2 linked regions of the Callithrix jacchus genome follow. The protein of the gene in region 2 binds, or shares a complex with, the protein of the main gene of each other region. Links are inferred from orthologs where the notes say so. Each region holds a gene or a part of one and is shown on either strand. Other genes may lie near its edges.

Region 1 (8,572 bases), on a different chromosome or scaffold from region 2:
TCTCATTCACCTTGGCGTGCCCATCGCCTAGAACATGGTTGATCACGAAGTAGAATCTAACCATAGATTTAATTGTGCTTGAAAAGGGGGTGTTGGGGAGAAAGAGAAGGAAGGGAGGAAGGAAGGTATGAAAGACTTGTGTGCTTGGATTAAATATCTTCGGTTTGGTTATTAAGAGTCTCAATTTATTTATTAGCTTGTGGCTTAATTCAATAGTTTTACTCCTTCTCCCACTGGGCTCCTCCAGCTTTATGCTCAGCCCTGGAAGCGCGCTCTTTCTACGCGGACCAGGCTGCAAGCTGTAACCGGAGGCAAAGCCCGGGAATGGTGGGGAAGAGGGGCTGAGTAAAGGAGAACTTTGCATCTTCAACTTGGAAGGTGATTTTGCATTCAGTATTTACAGCATCCCCCAGCAGAGGGCTTAGAGGTAACTCTCCAACTCTTCCACCCAGGCTCCCCTATGGCCCAGGGAGCCCAGTTCCCCATTCTGGGCCAAAAAGATGGATTTCAAAATCTTCAAGGTCATGTTTTACCTTAAATATCCGTATTAATTCCCGTGTATTGCTTCATATATCTATTTGGTTTTTTAAAAAACTGCTCCCCCTCCAGAAACAACTGAGTAATGTTGGCACTTCCAGCAGACAGCTGTGAGGGTTAGAAAACTGAGGCCATGGAATGGGGGCAGAGGGAGGATGCTTTGAGATCGCAAAAAGCAAAGGCAAGGAGAACCACAATTCTATCTTCATCGCTCAGCGATCTTCTTACACAAGTTTAAGAGGAAAAGGAGAGGGTCTCTGTCTGCCAGAGTGCTGCACAGTCAGCCATGGTCAGCGAAGTTTTGGTCCTGATACCCACAGAACCCCACCCCCACCCCCCCGGGGCAGCTCTGGAAAACTCTACCGCGTAAAGCGGAGGGTCGGATTAGTTGAGTTGTGTCGTAGAGCTGAGATTCAGCGATCTCCAGATGGTGCCACACACAACTGGGTTTGGAAATCCTAGAGTTGGTCCAGTTACCTTGGTATGCAAATGAGGAACCAGACCCAGTAAGTGGACGCAACTGGCCCTAGTTTGGAGGAAGAGGGAGACTCTTTCTCTAGCCTCTTGAGTCTTCAATGCTCCACAATCTAGGCCTTAAACCATGAGAGGGTAGGTGTTTGGGTGGTGGTATACTTTGGGAGGTATAATTTACAGAATGGGCTTTCACATGCGAAAGTCCCTGTTGTGATTATTTCCCATTTGCTACCCTGGCCCGGCAGCGCGATCAGGAGACTCAGGTTGTCTGATGATTGGCGCGATTGGCACGTGAGCTGAGGCGAGACCTGAGACTGGTCTCCCCTGCTGAACTTTCTCTTCTGGAAAAGGAATGCTCCGAGCTTTGGAAGCTCTCCGGGTACAAATTCTTGTATCACCAGTCCTCACCTGAGGGACCTCCCGCGGCATCTGTGCGGGTAGGGCTACTGCCTGTGGTGCCCCCCGCAGCCGCGCGCAGGTACCCTGCAACGTGGCAGTGGCCCCGCTCCTCAGCCAGGTCCACGGGCAGACGGCCCCAGGCATCGCGCACGTCCAGCCGCGCCCCGGCCCGGTGCAGCGCCACCAGCGTGTCCAGGAAGCCCTCCCGGGCAGCGTCGTGAACCGGTCGGGTGAGAGTGGCGGGGTCCGCGCAGTTGGGCTCCGCGCCGTGAAGCAGCAGCAGCTCTGCCACGCGGGCACTGCCCATCATCATGACCTGTCAGAGAGAGCACAGTGGTCAGAGCCGGGGTAGGGGACAGAAAGGACGCCAATGTGAAGCCCCCTCACCGCCAAGCAGACACCCAGACAAGCCACAGGTGTCTAATTACCCTACTTTTGCTTCCAATTTCCAATTTTCTTTTACAGTTCGCCTATCCATTCTTCAGTACACATTAAATTCCATTATATTCTGCGAACTTGTGCGGAGCTGTAGCCATAGGCAGAGAGCCCTGTGAGACAAGGACAACAGCAAAGGGGCAGGGACAAACTGACTTTTACTCAGGCCTAACTTCCTGTATTTCCCCTGAGATACAACTACTGAAATTTCTTCCTGAAATTATGTTAGGCCTGGAGATTTTCTGTTGTTGTTGTTCACTGCTGTATATCCAAGCGCAGAATGTGGTAATTGTTAAAAAGAGAAAACTTTAAAAAAAAAATACATTTTCACAAAACTTTTTAAGTTACCTTAGCTTCTGGGAATGTTGAACCTCAATTTCTTATATTAGTTTTAAAATTGTATATTGGCATATTATAGTTGTATATATTTATGTGGTACAATATGATGTTATAATCTTTGAACACAATGGGGAATTATTAAATCAAGCTAATTAACCTATCCATCATCTCAAACATTTGACATTTTTGTCAAATGAGAGCATTTGAGATATACTATTTAGCCATATTCATCATGCTGTGAAACACATCTCAAAAAAAACGAGTCAGACTTATTCCTCCCATCTTAACCCAGGTTTTGTATTTTTGATTACCACCTCCCTATTCCTCCCATTCCCCGAGCTCCAGTAACCACCATTCTACTCTCTACTTCGAAATATTAAATTGTTTTATATTTCACGAATAAGTAAGAACATGTGATATTTGTCTTTCCGTGTTTGGCTTATTTCATTTAGCACAATGCTCTCCAATTCCAAAACTTCAATTCCTTCAAATATAAAACAAGATGGCTAGTCTTAATTAGTCCTAAAATTCCTTTCTGTCGTAGGCTGAATAATGCCCTGTCCCCACAAATATCTATGCCCCAATCCTCAACAGCTGTTAATATATTACCTTAGGTGGCAAAAGAGGCTTTGTAGATGTGATTGAATTAATGGTCATGAGGGCGATTATCTGGAATTTTCAGTGTAAGCCCAACATAACCCCAAGTGTTTTTATTAGAGGGTCACAGTCAGAGAGAAAATATTAGAATCAGAGGCCAGAGAGAAAATACAGGGGCCATGATCTAAGGAATTTGATGGTCACCAGAAGCTGGAAGAGACAAGAAAACAGATTCTGCCTTAGAGTTTCCAAAAGGAATGCAGCACTGTGGACCCATTTTTGACCTCTGATCTCTAGAACTATAAAATAATAATTTTGTGTTTGCTTTACTACTACATTTGTGATAATTTGTAACAGTAGCAATAGGAAACTTAAACACTTTCCAGGTTTATAATTTGAGAGTTCATTAAATAAGAGATGGTCACTTCTTTGGTTCCTAAATCATCTTGAAAACAAAGCCATTTCCAAAGAGGAATTTTAAAACACTGTCTGCAGTCATAGCAACCTTAAAATTTGAGTATTATGTGGTAGATGATAGTAGAAGCAGATAATTTATTTTGAGATAACTGTTATTTGTTATATCAGCTTGAGGATGGTGGTGTTATAAAGAAGAATTATTTATTTTTAGGCACATTTTGTATTAAACACAAATTGTATAATTTGCCTAAATCAAAGAATTATACTAAATTATACTGTAGTTACTAAATCCTGTCCTAAGAAAGTGAAACTGAGTTATTTTTCAAGGAGACAAAGAGAAAGTACAAGAAACCAAATTGCAGCTACAAAAAGACAAAATATTGCAGTAAATTTATTGTTTTGTGTGTTCAATGAAGTCCTTCATTTCGGTCATAAAACTAGTCTTAATGGTTTTTCTTATATTTCATAGTATGAAAAATCTAAAAAGTAACCCATATGTAATTATTTAAATCATGATAGAAATCCAAAGCAAAAAGAAAATGAATCAATTGAATGAAAATGTGTAGGATGCTTAAACACATTTAATAAGAAATTAATATGAATTTAGTACTTAAAAATGTTATACAAATAAGTTTCTATATTAAGCATCAATGTAGTTAGGATTCTAAGCCAACGTCATTTCCCCTTTTCTACATGTTCTTCTCCCTTCCCCATTAAAAATTGTCAAAACTATCCACTTTTCTTTTCCCTTTTTGCTTATAAACAAATAAGGTCTCTTCTACAATATTTTAGGGCTACAATGCCAAACTTCCAGGTCCAAGCTGCTGTTACAATTTTAGAGATGCAAAGATACCCAGGCATTAATTACTTTTAAATCATCCCCTAACCCCTCACAAAACTGGAGTGGGGAGAGGAGAAACACTACTTTTCAAAAATGAGGAAATGAAAAATCTCTAAAACTCTATCACAAATAAATTATATCAAGAAAGCTAAAGATAGCAAAAACAGCAAAAATGTCAGCAGATAATCCCAAAATGGTAACTACATATTACATCTGGTGTGATCACATGAATGTGATTCATTATATGCATCTATCTATCTGTATTTCCTAAGTTCCTACAGCAAACATATATTTTTGCCCTACTCACTTAAAAATAAACACAACATGTAGTTGCTTCGGAATAATTTCTTTCTTTTCTTTTATTTATCGGACTTTCACCCTTTCACCCAGGCTGAAGTGCAGTGGTGTGATCTCGGCTTACTGCAACCTCCGCTCCTGCCTCAGCCTCCCGAGTAGCTGGGATTACAGGCGTTTACGACTATGTCTGGCTGATTTTTGTATTTTTAGTAGAGACGGCGTTTCACCATGTTGGCCAGGCTGGTCTCCAACTCCAGACCTTGTGGTCCGGCCGCCTCGGCCACCTAAAGTGCAGGGATTACAGGCGTGAGCCACCGCAGCCGGCCGCTTCTGAATAATTTCGATCATAAATTTATATTCGATATTTATTCCAACATACACGATAGATTATTACTGATAATACCTCCTAGCAAGAAAGATAAGCTCCATCCAGGATTCTGTGAATTCAGGGCTAAATAGTTCCAGTACATCCTACATTTCTTTAAGACTCGCGTTTTATCCCAAACGTTTGTAAATTTTGTATCTGATAAAGAGCATACCTCCATCTAATACAAATATTTCCCCCCTCTTCAGATCCTTACAGCATTCCAGAGATCTGCACGCGCGGGCCTCCTCAATCCTTCCGTGGCTTCCCAGGGCCCCCAGAAGACCAGGTCTTTGATTACAGACCTCTTCTGAAAACTGCGCAGGAAGCCTCTCTTTTTCCAGAATAAAAGCGCTACTTGATTCCCCTGCAAATCTCGTCCTCCAGAGTCGCCTATCACCCCCTGCTCCCGCTACAGGCCCTGTACCCACCTGGATCGGCCTCCGACCGTAACTATTCGGTGCGTTGGGCGGCGCCCCCGCCTCGAGCAGCGCCCGCACCTCCTCTACCCGACCCCGGGCCGCGGCCGTGGCCAGCCAGTCCGCGGAAGGTTCCATGCTGCTCCCGGCTGCTCGCTCCCCGCTCTCCCTCTCTCCGCTCCTGCAGCGCTCTCGCGGCCCGCACTGCAGTCTCGAGACCAGCCCGCCCCTCCTCTTTCTTCCACCCGGGAGGGCGGGCGGAAGAGCCCCCACCCCCAACACCCGGGACGCTGTCCCTCGACTCCTCCGGCGGAACGGCTATATCTTTCCAGGCGGGGGGGCGCCGTTCGCTAGTCCTCCGAGGAGGTGCTATTCACTCGCTGCGAAGGTGGCACCCCTGAAGCCGCCCCAAGGTGGGTCTGCCCCGGGGGCACCAGCCGGAAGCGGCCCTCGCCCGCCGGAGCCCAGAGGCGGCGAGGAAAGGCTGGACTCCTCCCCACCTGCTCCTACACCGCCCTTCGGCAGCCCTGCTCCCGGCCTTGCTACCCCGCCTTCCCAGCAACCGCGCGTTTTCGTCTCAGAGCAAAAAGAAATTTCGCACCCCCCACACCCCTCCCCCTGCCCACGTTTCCTTCCTCCACGGTACAACCTTCCTAACTGCCAAATTGAATCAGGGTATTTGGAGTCACAGGGAAAGTATGGCTTCTTCTTTTACTCATAAGAAAAAGCAAAACTATTCTTTTCTGTTTGTGAGAGCCCAGCGAGGATCAAAATCACCTGTGCGACTGGGAAGCGTCCCCCTACCCTCTCAACCCTTGATTTTCGAGAGCGCCGGGTTCACTAAGTCAGAAATCCTAGTTCAAAGGATTCCTTTTGGAGAGTCGGCCTGCTCTCTCCTTCCCTGCCCCTTCCCCTCCTATGTGCAAAACGGCTGTCTAGGGCGTGGATTTCTCACACATGTGCATTGCCTGGTATAAGGGCAGACTCTGAAAAAATGAGGTTTGCTTAATACGACAGGAGAGAATTGTGCCACGGACAGGGGAGAATTGTACCAATGGGGAGGGAGTACTGGAAGGACGGATTCCATTCTGAGTAAGTCATAATTCCTAGACCAGAAGAAGTGCTCAGTGTTCTAGAGGCAGAGTTGCACAGTGATTCAAAGATCAGCTTTACACACTGTTCTGTCTCCTTCACACGCACATTTCCCCTTCCCACTGAAAATACCTTGCATTCTTTTTTTTAGTTATAAAGGGGTAGGGGAATATGAGTGCCCCCTGCTTTACAGGAGTTGTTGTGAATTTAAATGAATTGATGTATTAATACATATGAACCTTAAGAACAGTGCCGCATACCCTAAGCTAATAATACCTGTTATCTCTTGAATTGTCCATTTTGAGGATTGGCTTGCAATTCTGTGCTTTTTTTTAATTTAAATTTTATTATATGCAATTCTGTTTTGAGGCATGAAAAGAAAATGGTTTGGAGCTGGGCGTGGTGACTCACGTCTGTAATTCCAGCACTTTGGGAAGCCGAGGCAGGTGGATTACCTGAGGTCAGGAGTTGGAGACCAGCTTGGCCAAAATGGTGACACCCTGTCTCTACTAAAAATACAAAAATTAGCGAGGCATGGTGGCGCACGTAATTCCAGCTACTCAGGAGGTTAAGGCAGGAGAATCTCTTGAACCTGGGAGGCGGAGGTTGCAGTGAGCCACCGCACTCCAGCCTGGGTGACAGAATGAGACCCCGACTCAGAAAAAAACAATGGCTTTGGATAGGATTATCACTATTATATAAAAGGAAAGGCCAGGCGCGGTAGCTCACGCCTGTAATCCTAGTATTTTGGGGGGCCGAGGCGGGTGGATCACCTGAGATCAGGCATTGGAGATCAGTCTGTCCAACATGGTGAAACCCCCTCTCTACTAAAAATACATGGTGGCACGGGCCTGTAATCCCAGCTGCTTGGGAGGCTGAGGTAGGAGAGTCTCTTGAACCCAGGAGGCAGAGGTTACAGTGAGTGGTTATCTTGCCATTGCACTCTAGCCTGGGCAACAAGAGTGAAACTCCGTCTCAGAAAAAAAAAAAAAAAAGCAAGAACTTACTCCTTGAAAAGATGATGGAGATGATGGGCACCCTCCACCACCCTCACTTATAATGAAAAGTTAAGCAACACTAAAGAGTATAACAAGTGCAAAGAGGTAAACGTTCTAATTTTTACTGTGACTATTACTTTTTAAGGTTTGAATAACATGTATTTTTAAAAAATGGATTGCTCAGACTCTGATGATGCCTTAAGACATGCTTAACCTTCCTATGGATAATCCAGCTCTGTTTAAAAGTTATATTTCAATCCCTGGTTGACTTAAACTTTGTAGACCCAGCATATCTTGTACTTTAGTTCCTGCCTGATTTTTAAACAGATAGTTTTAAAAATGAAGCCAATGAAAACAATGTAGGATTTCAAGCATGTTATTAAAATCTACAATGCATTACTGTGCTATTTATATTTTCCTTGGGTACTTCTCAATTATCTGTATAGCCATAATATGGAAAATTCAAACTATCGATAAATAAAATTCTTTTGGTTTAGCTTAAGGTATTTTATGATGGAGGAGGAAGAAAGATTGGTTTGAAGGATGGGAGGGAGGGAACACATTTAACACATTTCCATTATCAATATAATGATTCTTAATGGGGGTGGAAGAGTGGAAAAAGTAGGCTCCTTCAAGAGTCTGTTGAAAGACCTGCCCAAAAAAGAAAGCAGGTGGTGATTTTTTTTAAAAAAAGACGTGTTCACTTACACATGTATTTCTGAATAAAACTTTTAGGGAATTCAGAGTCTACCATGGATTCCTACATCAAGAACTCTTATAGCTCTTGTGAAATATATATATATACATATATATATATACACACACACATATATATGTATGTGTGTGTATATGTGTGTATATATATACACACACACATATATATGTATGTGTGTGTATATATGTGTGTGTATATATACACACACATACACACATAGATATGTATATGTACGTATGTTTATTGAGCTATTGGTGAAGAAGATGGGTGATGCGGTGATACAAAAACATTTAGATGCATTATATGCAGATGTAAAAGTTGACTGCTTTGGAAATAACAAGAACAAGCTTTAGATATGTATACACTCTCATATCTTGCAGAAGAGCTCTGGAAGGATTATGGCATCCTTTGGTGGGGTCATTTTGCTCTAGAAATTGAGTCAATTATCTATTATAAATCTTATGTAAAGTTTAATAATACTGTGAAAACTTTCCTAGTTTTTCTTTTAAAGAACCCACCACATTCCCAGTTTACTCATACATATCAGCTCAACCTGAGGTGCAAAACCCTAGAAGAATGAAAATATAAAGTCCTGGATCCTGGCACTGCTCATGCCAGCCTCAGATTTCCTATGTGCAAAATGGGATT
Region 2 (8,482 bases):
ACATTTATGATCTAACCATACCACATCTTGGACTCACATTTAACCCTTTGGAGAATTAGTCTAGAGAGTAGTCCGCCCAGAGATACGGGGATAACCGTTTTGGAAGAAATTTTTACGACGCTGTTTGAATTTGGGCATCAGCATTCAAACTCCTTAGACCACCAGGAGTCATTCTTGTTATGAAATTTTAATAAAGAGAAACTGTGAGTATGATTGGCAAAATATTCTGATGTTTTTGCATCTTCTTAACCTGATTGACACTAGGCTCCACCCATAAAATTCTCACTGATTATCACACCGCATCCTCATTCTCCAGTCTCACTCTTTTAAAAATTCCCCAACTGCATGGCCAGGAAAAACATGCGGGGGCTAGCGGGGCATGTCTCGGGTTGGCTTATTCTGTCCCTAAAACGCACCCCCCCCCCTCCCACACACACACCCCAGACCCTCCTTCAGGGCGGGCTGGGAGAAAACACTTCTAAGTTGTACTGCTGTGGGGAAGCCTGTGCACGTCACGTTTTCTGACTTGTCTTTCTGCTCCCCGTCTGGCAAGGTCACCGGCTCTGGCTCGCGGCTCTGTCACCAAAACTTAACTCACGCTGCAAGATCAACAGGTTATGCCAGACCTCCCCAGTCGCCCTCTGCCCCAAACCTTCCTGGGCCTGAGGATTCCCGGCTCGGCCCTCTCCGCCCGCGCGGCCCCAGACGGCTAGGGCGCAGCTCCCGGACTCACCTGACCACGTTGGGGTGTTCGAAGGTCTCCAGGTGCCTCAGCACCGCCACCTCGCGGATGGTGGAGAGCGGCATGCCCTCCTCGCCGGTCTGCACCCGCACGCGCTTCAACGCCACGAAACGGCCTCCGTTCTTCAAGTCTCGGGCCTTGAACACCTTCCCATAGGCGCCCTCCCCGATCTCCGCTACGCATTCGTACTGCTGGTCCGCGCGGCTCAGGCCGTCCTTCTCCATGCCGCCTGGACGCCGCCTGGCGCGGCGCCGCTGGGACCGGTGGGGGGTGCGCTCAACTAGCTGGCGGCCGCTGCTTGCCTCCTCCGGGGCTCCCGGGAGCTCGGTCTTGCTTTTTTTGCCCCCCTGCCGGCTCAGGAGCTTGGGCTCTGGGACTCTCGAGGCTGCGGAGGCTGGATGGAGCGAACTCCCCGCGGGGCTGGTGCAACCCTGGTGCCGCCGCTGCGAAACTCCGCCTGCAGAGTCGCCGCCACCGCCGCCGCCGTAGAAGCGAGCCGATCCCTCCTCTTTCCTCTCCGAAGCGAAGTCCTCAGCACAGACAGAGACGATTACATAGCATCTGTCCGAGCGTGTCTCAGTCCAGAATCATTGCACCTAAAGGAGGAGACGGGAGGATAAGAAGAAAGTGCAATCAGACAGCCCAGAAGCCTTCCTCGGGGTTCCTCCAGACTCCCCTCCTCCTCCTTCACGAAGCCTCCATCGCTACCCTTCGCGCGCTCCTGCCCTCTCCCAAGCCGCTTAATTCTTCCTGGTTCCTCCGAGAAAAGCGAAGTTACTTTTCTTTCCCTGCAGGGCTGAAGCCGTCTTCGCGCGGAGAGGTTGCAGGGGCCCCTCGGGGATGAGCGCGCGGCGCGGGACGCAGTGGAACGGGAGGGGGCGTGCCGAGCAGCCCAGAGTGTGCCGGGAGCGCGGGGGAGGGGAGGCGCCGGGCACGTCAATGTCACGGCTTAATATTTATCCCTATATCATTGTGTTGCGCCGCTACGCTCCCCACCTCCTGAGGCCTGAACGTGCAGGGAGAGAGGGTCCAGGGGTGCCAGAGGACCTTCAGGGGTCGCGCGCAGCTGGAGCGGAAGGACTGTGGGTCCATCCGTGTGGGGCCGCAGAATGCGGGTGGGGGTTCCCAGGACCCTGTAACCCGATGCTGGGAGTGTGCGAGAAGGGGTGGTCAGACATCTGCTCAGAAATTGCTTCCTTTCTTTCAACTTTCAGTTTTTCTACGAGGAGACATTTAAAAACGACTTGCACACACAAATGGTCTTTTTGGGGTAAAGGAGTCCCGGTTGGAAACGAAATTCTCTCTGCGACTGGGAGGAGGACCTCCCTGGTGGAAACCTTGGGAAGACCAGCCATCTGGTCTGGGAGGGTTGGGGCTACTCGGTGGTGGGTGAGCGAGAGGCCCTGGGGGAGGGGAGACCCCCTCACCCACAGGATCCCGAGGGTGGCGTCACCCACAGGATCGCCACACTTTCGCTTGTCGTCTCCTTAAAAGATAACTTCAGGAAGACGGTAGCATAATCGCGCCCGGTCCTGAAGTTTTAAGCTGATTTCGACCTGAGCAAAACTCAACCTCCCTTTCAAAGGGTGGGGGGTGGGAGGTTAAATCCTGCGCCTCCAGGTAAGCGAGAAGGTCTGTGTCTTTGGGGCTCGGACTCGCGAACCTCTTCCCACTCCTAGGACCTCCCGGCTGTAGGTAGCGGAGGCGGCTGCCCCATTCCACCTCCGGCTAAAGGCCAGGTCCAGTCTGCAGCCAGACGCCCCCGGAGCCCTGTGAACAACAAAGCGCCAGAGAAGGGTACCCTAACCTTTCCTCCCCACTCAACAGCTATCTGGGACCAGGGGGCCTCCCTCCCCCACGGCCACCGTGGCCTCGTCAGTACTTTCGCCACGCCGGCCGCATGTCTAGAATTCCCGGGGTACCTCGGAATTACCTGGCCCGCAACTGCTGGCCCGCTTGCCTTTTGCCAGGATTTAAGCAAACGGCACGACCCCACAGTGGGCGGGTGGAGTGGACCGCGGCGAGAGCAGAGATTCTGGCACTCACTCCATTCAGAACTTAAAATCCGAGCAAAGAGCCCCCAGGGACTGCCGGGGGTCTGAGCCAGGTCGAGGGCCACACAGGTAGCCGAGGAGCCGCCACTGGCCGCCCAACCCGCCTCTCCTCCGTTCCCCCATCCCCCTCCCGCTAGAGTCTAGCCCCGGGCTCCGCAGCGAAGGAAGCGTCGAAGGACGTCCCACCCCCACAGGGAACTGTGCCTGCTGCCCCCGCAGGGCCCCGCACGGCCCCGGCTCTCCCCCTACTCGCCCCCCAGAAGGTCGGCCTCGGCGGATAGAAACGGGAGCAGCAATGCCTTTCCCCCCCCCTCCTCCACTTTTTTTTTGTTGTTGTTGTTGCTTTCCCACGCTGGCTGAATGTGACTTGACCCCATTTCAAAAAAGTTTGACATAGTGCTTCAACATTTCCGCATTCCTCCGCGACTACAAAGGCTGCAGCCGCCTCCTTCTGCTTTCTGTCTCTGCTCTCTGTCTTCACACTCAATGAAATCCTTCATGCGCCTCTCCCGAAGCCTGCCAAGCACCGCAAGGGTCGCCACCAGCACAGCGACAAGAGGCCACACCGGGGACCGCGACTCCCGCGTGTGCGCACACGCAGATGCGCCCATGTGCACACGGTCGGGCGCGCTGCGGTACCAGGGTTGCTCACCGCGGGGCGTGTGTTTAACTCCAGTATTTAAAAGTATAAAAGTAAACTTGGAAACTAAAGCAAACGTGCGTCTTCGCGGGTCTCCAAGCCTGGGCACTGGCCGGTTGCGTGCACTCTTCTGTGCATAACACGCCCGCAGGAAGCCTGCGTTAACATTTATCTCGTGGAGGGGAAGGTGGAGCCCACACCCACACCTCAGCGAGCTGGAGGGGGAGCTTTGGTGGGGGAAATAGGGGGATGGAAGCACATTTTCCAGCATGGAGTCCCCAGAGGCAGTGCATTTGAAACCCTAAATGTGAATTATTATGTGAGTGTCCGAGTCGAGTTCCAGTTCCGTTGGAGAAACTGGATGGGGAGTGTTCTGCGTGGGTGTGTGTGCGCATGGATACGTGGAAGCAGGATCTCGGTGTCGTGGGTGTCCCTAGCATGGGATCTCCCCTCTCATCAGGAGATTCCTCTAGCTCCCCAAAACTGGCCCCCGTAACCAACCCCGTCTCAGTTTGTAAGGGGTTAACCAAAGCCGATTCCAGGGAAACACGGGTCCCCCCCCACCCCACCCCACCCCGCCACGCTCCACTTACCCCCACCCACAGTTATGCCTCGGACCCGGGCCAATCTCTCAGATCTCCCCCGGGACCCCCCACCCCGCAGCCCACCCACCCGAGCGCACGGCTCCTCACCTGAGGGGCCCAGTCGCGTCGGGCCTCCTGAGGAGGCTGCGAGTGTCAGTCGGCTCTCCGCACGTGTCCACGGCCTGGCGGAGCAGGTAATCAGACTCTGGGGAAGGAGTTACCAGCACTCTCCGGCGAGGGGGTGGGCACAGCGGCAGAGGGCGGAGGGACGGCGGAGGGCGCCGCCCGCGCGACTCGCTGGGGGCGGACGGGGCCGCGGGGATCCGGCCGGCGCTGGGGGCCCCAGCCGGGGAGGCAGCGTGGGAGACCGCGCGGGGGAGGCGGGGACCCACGAAGGCAGCTCTGCCAGAGAGCCACCCCTCGGCGGGGCTGGGGGCTCCTGGCGCAGAGGCAAGCTGGTGTGCAAATTAAAGCTTTCCGGAGAAAGGGGAGGCGGCCGAGCCCCGGCAGGGCTCTGAGCTCCAGGCTCCCCAGCTCCGGTCTACGCGTCGGGGGCTAGAAGGGCGCGGGGCGGAGGCGGGGGAGTTAAATGAAAATTTCCGGCTTTCACTGAAACTGGAGTAGGGGGATCCCGCTACTAAAATAAGCTGCGTTAGTGGGAGAGAGTGGGGACGTGTCGGGAGTCGGCGGAGTTTCCAAACCCAGGGTCTCCAAGAGTTGGGGTTTTGACAGGGTGAAGTGGGGGTTATCCTCACTGTGTGACGTGGACGGATGGGAAAAACAGAAAACAACCAACAATAATTATGAGGGGCCGATGGGGGTGGAAAATACCAATACTTTACAAGAAACTGAAAAATCAGACCAAAAATTAACTCTTCTCTATTAAAAAAAAAAAAGTTTGGCAGGATGCCTTGCAGAAAAGAAATACTAATCTGTCCAAGCACTTTTCACTTTCAGCATGAGCTACATTTGTTTTGTTTTCCTTCGCTTCCTTTCGGCCTCACAAAGCCCTATATTTTCCTTTTAGAGGATATGGTTTGGAAATTATCAGGCACTCTTATGGTTAACGATCTACTTGAAGGGGCTGGCGGGTTCACAATTATTAAGTGGTCAGTAACTGCTGAGGGTTCACTAACGTATTTCAGAGGAGCTAAAAAGACTAAAATGTAGTGCAAATAATAGAACTGCAGATAGTAGATACATACACACAAAGAGGGGTGCTCAGTTTAAATGCATTATTGGAATTCTGAAATTTGAAACCTGGTAAGAATGTATACTTTACCTGCTGAGAAACCCTTGAATACAATTATTTTAGATGAAAATGAGATTTTGGACAAAAAAAAAGTCTTTAAAACTTTCTACAATGGAGTAAAAGAAAACTTGAAATAGCTGTCTTTTTGGAAAGAATTTAGTGTTCTCCAAAATCTGTATCTGTAGAATACTTGAAACCCTTTAAAACATCTAAAAGCAAAACTTTTCACAAAATTATTTACTTCAGTTCTTTGTAGAAAAATTAAAACCCTGCAAAATTCTGTTTTAGTTGGAAATACTACTTCTATAAATCTTTTGACTTTAAAACCATGTTATTAATCTCACAGTAAATCAAAATTTTGCCTTTATAAAATTGATTCTATATTACAATGTGAGGTGAGGCTAGGGAAATAAAAATTGATGCATTTCCAGTAGCACATATTTTGCAATGCATTATAATACATTTTTTCTAAAAAATAAAGGTGAAAAATTGTATGTCTTTAAGCTTAAGATAATTCATAAAATACATTTTGTGTTAAGAGCATATGTAAAGCTATTTATAATCTCACATACCTTATAAATTGAAGAAAGCAAATCATTAGATTTTATATTTACATAAAATATTAGATGACTACAAATCACTAATTAGACTTTAAGCCAGAGACACAAATGGGTATCCTCCATTTTGGTACTTGTTCACACTTATTTACTTTTTAAAACAAGATTCACTTGCTGGTAATTAACATGTTTATATAATCCAGAAATAATCGCCAGTAAATAGGAACCAGCACATCATGACTAGAATTTATTTGAATAAATCATTTATTTAAAAAATAGCTACAAATATCTTTGAAATTAACAGAGAAGTGTCTTTTCCACACTGGGTTGAATTTTTAATTTCTGAATTTGACAACAACCATTGTTAGATCAGAAATTCCATGATTTAGGTTACTAGAAGATGTGGGCAATGTAAAAAACAATGAAACTTTAATTACATATGTTAATACTGAGTGTTAACTCTCTGTCCTTTTTTCCTGTTATTGCTATCTTCTGTGTTAATTTATTATTGTTCACTCTTCCTGGTTATGGTTCACATTAAATCCCAGTTGGTTAAAGCTTCAGACCCAAGGAAGTTTTACAATTGATTGTATAAAATTAGTAAATACCAGATTATTTTTGTTTATGGATAACTTCTGTTGTGGGTAACAGGTTATCATAACAAAATTTGTTCAAAGTTTATGAACTGTGAACCAAATTCCAACTTCTTTGTTTAGGAGTCTTATGAGAATGAATATATAGGACTCTAGAATAATGACTCCAACCAGTATTTTCACACCACATATCAGATATTCTAAAGTTGCAAATCATCTTACAGGTATTTAAAAATTAGAATTCATGGACTTATTTCCAAATATGGTGGTGTAACTTACACTGAAAGACTTATTAGTGTCACATAAGGAATGTGTTTCATGTGTGAGCATTTGTATATCAAATATCTGTAAAGTTTTGTTTTCACTTAAACAAACATAAAATTTTAAATTCTGGTCTATAATTTTTAACCTTGTTAAGGAAATGAGTAATTTATTTTAAAATAATAATTGCATGATGTATACCTAAGTCTAATTCACTTCTGATTTATATTGGTTATTTGAGTTTATAAAATACATTTTTCAGAAACTCAGAAATGAGATATTTCTATAACCTACTACACATTTCTAGTTTAGCTTTGAAACAAGTTACCCTACTTTTTAACCTGATTTGTGTGTTTGTGTAAATGTTCTTTATTAATTATGAAAAACTATAATTTAAACAGAAATAGGATAATATAAATGCAGTGCATTTTAATGCATTCTTCTCCCCTTTCTCAGGCATTTCTAAGATATTTTCTTGGGTTTTCCCTTAAACTATATTATTGAAAGTTTTCTAAATGTCTTAGGAAAAGTTAATTGTATTATCAACTTTTTGCTTTGTAAAATTCTGAGCTTTAAGTGATTTTTAAAGCTCAGTCTTCTATTTAAATTATTTCTGTCAATTTAGAAATGATCTGGATTTTTCTTTTTTTATTGTTTCATGTGATCTATTGGATTGCATATGGGCAGTGAAACTTGAAATGATTTTGATATCTGCCATGAGAGAAAAATATATATATAAGCTAGTAGCTTATAACATTTAAGCAGAAAAAAAACCCAAAACATTATTATCTTTTGGAACATTCTGCTTCCATTGGTTCTACTACTCTATAATTTCCCTTGTGCAACATGTCAGTACTATGTTCATATTTGTATAATTGCCATCGTCTTTCAAAAATTTTCCCTTTTGATAGACACCCATATCTTCTTTTTCCTGTGTGTGTGTGAATACCTGTATGTTCTTGGCATATCATTATATGTTTGAAACATGTTCTTAAGATCCTTTCATCATCTATATTAGAATTCTGAGTAATCAGAAAAATATGGAAATATACTTACAAAAGAATGTGATAATCACATTGAAATACCTATATTTTCTTTCTATTGACAGTGACCTGTAATTTTCACTGGCTTCTAACATTTCTTTTCTGAGATAATACTTGCATCTCAACTGCACACATGGCCTAAAAATTGTGTTGCCATAGCTGCTTTTGGTTGAGCTAAAAGGTGCGTACATGCTAGATCACTCAGTTGGAGCAGCGAAGGTATAATACAGTGGGAGTGAACGATGATAAAGTGGGATCTTGGAGGTAGAAGGAGGGACAAAGAAGGCACCCAGGGAGAAACTTCTGTGAATGGCCTGGCAGCAAGGACAAGTGAAGGAAGCACATGCTGAGGTTGTGGAGCTGAGGGATGCAGCTTTAGTGCTAGAGGTATGGCTGCGTAGCCAGGCAACCCGATTCTTTCTGAATGAATGGCCTTCTGTGTCTATCCTATTATGCAATTCAATCTGTCTTATTAAATGAAGTTATATACTGTTATGATCTATATTCACATGTAAATCTATTTTATGTTGTCTTATTCTGGATTTTTTCTGAAAATAACATAGAATGGAATTCTTTGTAGAATTATTTGAATGCCTAGAAGAAAATATATCATGACATAGGTCTGTGGATCAAACATTTTACCATAAATTGAAGCAAGGCTCTGATTGCTAAACCTTGTCTTAAATTTGTTCAAAATTACTCATCTCTTTGCATCCCCAGTACCTAGCACAATAACTGGCAAGCATTTTATGTCTA

The links.
Region 1: the proteins of CDK6 (region 2) and CDKN2A are in contact, whole or in part, in a crystal structure (PDB 1BI7), measured with the Homo sapiens proteins. The link is inferred for Callithrix jacchus from reciprocal best matches to the Homo sapiens genes CDK6 and CDKN2A. Residues at the interface, in NP_001138778.1 of Homo sapiens: Glu14, Cys15, Val16, Ala17, Glu18, Ile19, Phe28, Lys29, Arg31, Leu33, Asn35, Gly36, Gly37, Arg38, Phe39, Arg44, His100, Asp102, Gln103, Asp104, Thr106, Thr107, Asp110, Lys111, Gln149, Thr154, Ser155, Leu166, Ala167, Arg168; in NP_000068.1 of Homo sapiens: Thr18, Ala21, Arg22, Gly23, Arg24, Glu27, Asn42, Tyr44, Arg46, Gln50, Val51, Met52, Met53, Met54, Gly55, Ser56, Arg58, Asp74, Ala76, Thr77, Thr79, Asp84, Arg87, Glu88, Gly89, Phe90, Asp92, Asp108, Trp110, His123.

What each region holds. Positions count from the first base shown.
Region 1 is NC_133502.1:128,969,404-128,977,975, forward strand, and holds the start of CDKN2A (cyclin-dependent kinase inhibitor 2A), read right to left. Parts: upstream 5,334-8,572; 5' UTR 5,258-5,333; coding exon 5,132-5,257; intron 1,727-5,131; coding exon 1,420-1,726; intron 1-1,419. UniProt on the Homo sapiens protein: Acts as a negative regulator of the proliferation of normal cells by interacting strongly with CDK4 and CDK6. This inhibits their ability to interact with cyclins D and to phosphorylate the retinoblastoma protein.
Region 2 is NC_133512.1:56,782,100-56,790,581, reverse strand, and holds the start of CDK6 (cyclin-dependent kinase 6), read right to left. Parts: upstream 4,221-8,482; 5' UTR 4,129-4,220; exon of another isoform or gene 1,339-4,128; 5' UTR 967-1,338; coding exon 734-966; exon of another isoform or gene 554-733; intron 204-553; exon of another isoform or gene 42-203; intron 1-41. UniProt on the Homo sapiens protein: Serine/threonine-protein kinase involved in the control of the cell cycle and differentiation; promotes G1/S transition. Phosphorylates pRB/RB1 and NPM1.